Coturnix japonica: one gene and its partner. The protein of the gene in region 1 purifies or fractionates together with the protein of each later gene. This does not show direct contact. Links are inferred from orthologs where the notes say so. Each region holds a gene or a part of one and is shown in the gene's direction. Other genes may lie near its edges.

Evidence for each region. The genes of interacting proteins can lie anywhere in the genome.
Region 2: the proteins of RACGAP1 (region 1) and FAM98A purify together in Homo sapiens (co-immunoprecipitation; 3 studies listed by BioGRID and IntAct, with this or other methods). This does not show direct contact. The link is inferred for Coturnix japonica from reciprocal best matches to the Homo sapiens genes RACGAP1 and FAM98A.

What each region holds. Positions count from the first base shown.
Region 1 is NC_029544.1:387,933-390,248, forward strand, and holds part of RACGAP1 (rac GTPase-activating protein 1), read left to right. Parts: coding exon 1-61; intron 62-480; coding exon 481-645; intron 646-1,019; coding exon 1,020-1,115; intron 1,116-1,335; coding exon 1,336-1,534; intron 1,535-1,830; coding exon 1,831-1,936; intron 1,937-2,093; coding exon 2,094-2,226; intron 2,227-2,316.
Region 2 is NC_029518.1:27,930,533-27,933,198, forward strand, and holds the end of FAM98A (protein FAM98A), read left to right. Parts: intron 1-231; coding exon 232-978; 3' UTR 979-2,116; downstream 2,117-2,666. UniProt on the Homo sapiens protein: Positively stimulates PRMT1-induced protein arginine methylation. Involved in skeletal homeostasis. Positively regulates lysosome peripheral distribution and ruffled border formation in osteoclasts.

The sequences.
Region 1 (2,316 bases):
TGGTTCTGTCACCCCACAGAGCAACGGGGGAGTGAGGCTGCATGACTTCGTATCAAAGACGGTAGGTTTGCAGGCAAGAAGAATCATAGAATGGCCTGGGTTGAAAAGGACCTCAAAGATCATATATTTTGAACCTCATGCTATGTGCAGGGTTGCCAACCACCAGACCAGGCTGCCCATAGCCACATCCAGCCTGGCCTTGAATGCCTGCAGGGATGGGGGCATCCACAGCCTCCTTGGGCAACCTGTTCCAGTGCATCACCACCCTCTGTGTGTGTATGTGTGGGGGCAGGGGGAAAACAACTTGAAAAGTATCTACTTTCATTAAATGTGTGTGATAGCAAGCTATTGATAAGAAACTACCAACCATTACATCCCGAATCAATATTCACTGTGTCTGTTATCTGCCTGGTTATGCTATTTAAGCTGAGTTACTACAAGGCGCTAATTTCTTTCTGTCTGTACGCTCTGAATCATTAGGTTATCAAACCAGAGTCATGTGTTCCTTGTGGAAAAAGAGTGAAATTTGGAAAAATCTCTCTGAAGTGCAGAGATTGCCACGTGGTCAGTCATCCAGAGTGTCGAGATCGCTGTCCTCTTCCCTGCATCCCCACCTTGACAGGCCCTCCTGTCAAAATTGGGGAGGTAAGTCTGGGGGAAATGTATGGCTGCTGACCCAAACAGGCTAATGCTTGGTTAGAGCTGGAATGTGTTTAGGCTCCAACAAGTCTGCCTGCTGCAGAAGAGCTCCCATTGCTCAGAGCTGCATAATAAGAAACAAACCAACTTGCTGAAGTTGGTAGGGATGTCTTGTTGCAATGGTGTTATGTTGTGTATGTAAGCAGCTCTGTGTGGGCGATCCTGTAGCACTGTGCTGATGGGTGTAGTGCTGCTCAAGGCTGGTGAGGAAGAAACAAGGCTTATTCTTGAGCTTAAATCTTGCTGTGAATTCCTTAGAAAATGTTTTCTGTGTCATGAAGACTTACATACTTTTTTTCTGCTGCTTTTCTGCCTTTTAGGGTACTTTGATGGACTTTGTCCCTTCTGCTCCTCCAATGATCCCTTCCATCATAGTGCACTGTGTTAATGAGATCGAGCAGAGAGGTCTGAATGAGGTAAAAACGAGGACTGTGCTGATGAAATGGGTTGGGTTGTTAAGGAAGCAAGTAGTCTAAATGTCCCTTGCTAATGGTGTGTACAGCACTGCTCAGTGGGAGGCTGTGAGCAGCAGTGGCTGTGCAGAGTGCTCAGGTGTGGAGAGAAAGTGGGAGCAGAAGGAGGTAGACTTTGTGTGTAGCTGGTATTCTGCCTCTAAGCAATGCTTTCTGCCAACAGAAGGGCCTTTACCGGATATCTGGCTGCGACAAGACAGTGAGAGAACTGAAAGAGAAGTTTCTCAGATCAAAAAATATTCCCTCGCTCAGTAACGTGGATGATATCCACGCCATCTGTGGTCTCCTGAAAGACTTTCTACGCAACCTGAAAGAGCCCCTTCTCACTTTCCGCTTAAACAAGACTTTTATGGAAGCTGCAGGTAAGGAGACAAAGTGACATCCACATTTTCCAAAGGCTTAATGACAGGCTTATCTCACACGTGAGCTGGCAGACCTCGCTGCTCCTACTGCAGCTTTGCTGCGGATACTCAGGCTGCTGGAGAGATCTCTTCTTCCAAAATAGCACAGCAAAAGAGGAGAGAAATTCCTGTTGAAAATCAAGTTCTTTCCAGAACATGAGGGGAGCTTATAACCAGGAGGGAGAGGGACTTTTTACAGCTCTTACTGTGAGGGGAATACTGCAATAATACTTTAATTTTCTTTTCTTACCCTTCAGAAATCTTAGATGAGGACAACAGCATAGCTGCTATGTACCAAGCAGTTGGGGAACTTCCTCGGGCTAATAGGGACACCCTGGCTTTTCTCATGGTTCATCTGCAGAGGTATGCTCAAATGGAGTGATGGTTCTGGAAGGTGGATATTGCCATTGGTGTGTTCTCTGATAGTCTCTCGTTGCTGCCTGTGAGTGAAAAGCCCTGGGCCAGCAGCATTAAGTGAGAGAAAGGGGAAAACTCCTTTGTTTCTTTGTTTTAAAAATAGAGTGGCTCAGAGCCCTGACACCAAAATGGACGTTACCAACTTAGCCAAAGTCTTTGGCCCCACGATAGTTGCTCATGCAGTGCCCGATCCTGACCCGATGACTCTCCTGCAGGACACAAAGCGGCAACCCAAGGTAGGTGAGCAGGAAGAGCTGCTGTGAGTGAATAGATCCCATTTAAGAAACCCTGCCTTGAGGGTGCTGAGGCGATGCCTGCCCAGTGTC
Region 2 (2,666 bases), on another chromosome or scaffold:
GGAGCGTGAAATTTAAAAGAAAGTGGGAAGACAGATGTGAATATAATCAGATCATATATACGCTTTACTAGGAATATGGCACTGCCCACTGCCCTGCTGCTGATGTGTATTCTGTTAACTTAATTCCATTATCAGTACTGAGTGTCCTTCAAGACTAACAAAAATTAACAAAGTACCCTGCTTCTGTGAGATCTTACAACTCTTAAGACAGTTGTTCCTTTCTCTTTACAGGTGCTAATGGGCAGAGTACCTGATAGAGGAGGAAGGCCCAATGAAATTGAACCACCACCTCCTGAGATGCCACCCTGGCAGAAAAGACCAGAGGCTGGTCCACAACAAGGTGGTGGCCGAGGAGGAAGAGGTGGCTATGAATCCTCATATGGAGGGCGAGGAGGTTATGACCATGGAGGTCATAGCCACGGTGGTCATGACCGAGGAGGAAGAGGAGGTCATGAACGAGGGGGTCATGATCAAGGAGGCCATGATCGAGGAGGGCGAGGAGGACGTGGCGGTTATGATCATGGTGGCAGAGGAGGTGGAAGAGGAAACAAACTCCAGGGAGGGTGGACAGATGGTGGAGGTGGTGGCTACCAGGATGGCAACTACAGGGATAGCAATTACAGAGATGCAGGTTTTCAGACGGGTGGCTACCATGGTGGTGGCGGTGGCTATCAAGGAGGAGGCTATGGTGGCTACCAGTCATGTTCATACACGGGAAGTGGCTACCAAGGAGGTGGTGGCTACCAGCAAGACAACAGATACCAAGATGGCGGGTCCCACAGTGACCGAGGGGGTGGCCGTGGAGGAGGGCGGGGTGGCCGTGGTGGGCGGGGTGGCCGTGGCGGTCAAGGAGGAGGCTGGGGAGGCAGAGGTGGACAGAATTTTAATCAAGGTGGGCAATTTGAGCAACATTTCCAGCATGGAGGCTATCAGTATAATCAGTCTGGTTTTGGACAAGGAAGACATTTCACAAGTTGAGGCTGCTAAAACCTTTTGCTTCAGCAGAGCTCAGATAATAAAACCTTGTTTCAGAGTCCTGATTTAATCACTTTTGAATTAGTACAGGTTTGTATGTGTCAGGCAGAATCTTTTGGGGTGGGATGTTATGTGCTGAACTAAGTACAGCTTTCTGTAGACTTTCCTTCCCCCCCAGTCTGTCTGAATTGAATGTGTCATAACTACTCACTGCACTCCACCTAATCGTAAATTAATAGTCATGCTCTTTTGTTGTTGTATTGACATCTGCTCAAAGTACATTGATTCCAAAACTACCTGCTGTGTTTTGCTTGACACTTTGATTTGAGAAAAATGAAGACTGGTCTAGTCACAATTATATGTTGCAATATACAATGGAATTTCTGCATCCCCTAGCCATTGTTCAGTTACATGACCTAAAATCAGTGCTGAATATTGCTTTTGGATTGCTGTCCTGTTTTAATCAAAGTTACACACACATGCAGGCCCACAGAGCAACTTCCCTCTAACAGACAGGTTTGTTATCTATTATATGAGCTCTGCTGTAGATGTCACATTTGGTAGCCTTATCTTACATCAAACCATTTTTTTCCCACCTTCTCAAGTCTGAAGACTTACCGCCGCCAAAATCTGCAAAGATCACTTAAAACTAAGCTAAATTGTGAACTGGTAGTGTACATAGGCCTGTAGTTAGGTGTAGCAATTCAAACTGACCTGCATCCATCCAAAACAAGTTGCTCCTCCTTCAAACTTAATTTTTTACTTGAAATCAGCTAGAAGAAAAAACAAAAAGTGAAATTATTTTATTTGCAAGTTAATACCACTGGCTCAGCAGATCCAGGGCAATTTGTTTTGGGGGTTGTCTTTTTTAAAGAAATGCACTACGGCCTGGGAAGTTTAGTTCCTGCCTGGAGGAAGCCCTTTGATTATTGCTGCAGAAAACAAAGCCTGGCTGAGTTTGATGTTCTAATGTGTTGGGTTTGGTTTGTTTTGTTGTTTTTTTTCCTTTACTGAAAGCCACATAATGCTTCTTGCTGGGTTTTTTGTGTACATAAACATTGTCAAGCTGTGAAAGAAAATGGCTGAAGGTTTGCTGTTGTATAAAGGGTGAGCAATAAAAGTGTCTGTATGTTCCCCTCTGCTTTTGGTTTCTTTTCCTTCTGGTGATGAGTAAAAAGCAGTTTCTGCAGTAGGTGGGAACTCTTTTAGGTATTTCTGATTGTTTCACCTAGTTTTTGTTTTAATCTCTTAGGCGGTCAAATCATCTCAGGCGTACTGTGCATTTTGCCTCCTTAAAAGCTGTCAGAACAGGAGTGAATGGTAGGAATGGATCTTCATTGTTTTGGGGTTTGTCCTCATCCTTCTCTGATTTGGTGTAGCAGTAGTGTCTCCCTCACTAGAGGTTTCCATGTGAATTAAGCTCTGCCATCGTCAGGCTATGGCTCCTTCATGACACATGTACATGGTATGCATCTGGGAGCTCTTCTGATGCTGTCTGGGCTTGTGGCAAGGTTAGGTTCTTGCCTGGGTAGCTGTAGTAGAGACTGACCTGGTGGCAATCCCTTGGGCTACTTGAAACATCCAGAGGTCTGAATTTAGATGGATGCAGATAGAAGTTCCTCGGATTACTGAAATAATATGAGTGTTTGAGGAGTATGTGTCACACAGGCCTTGCTGCTATTCAAGCCCAT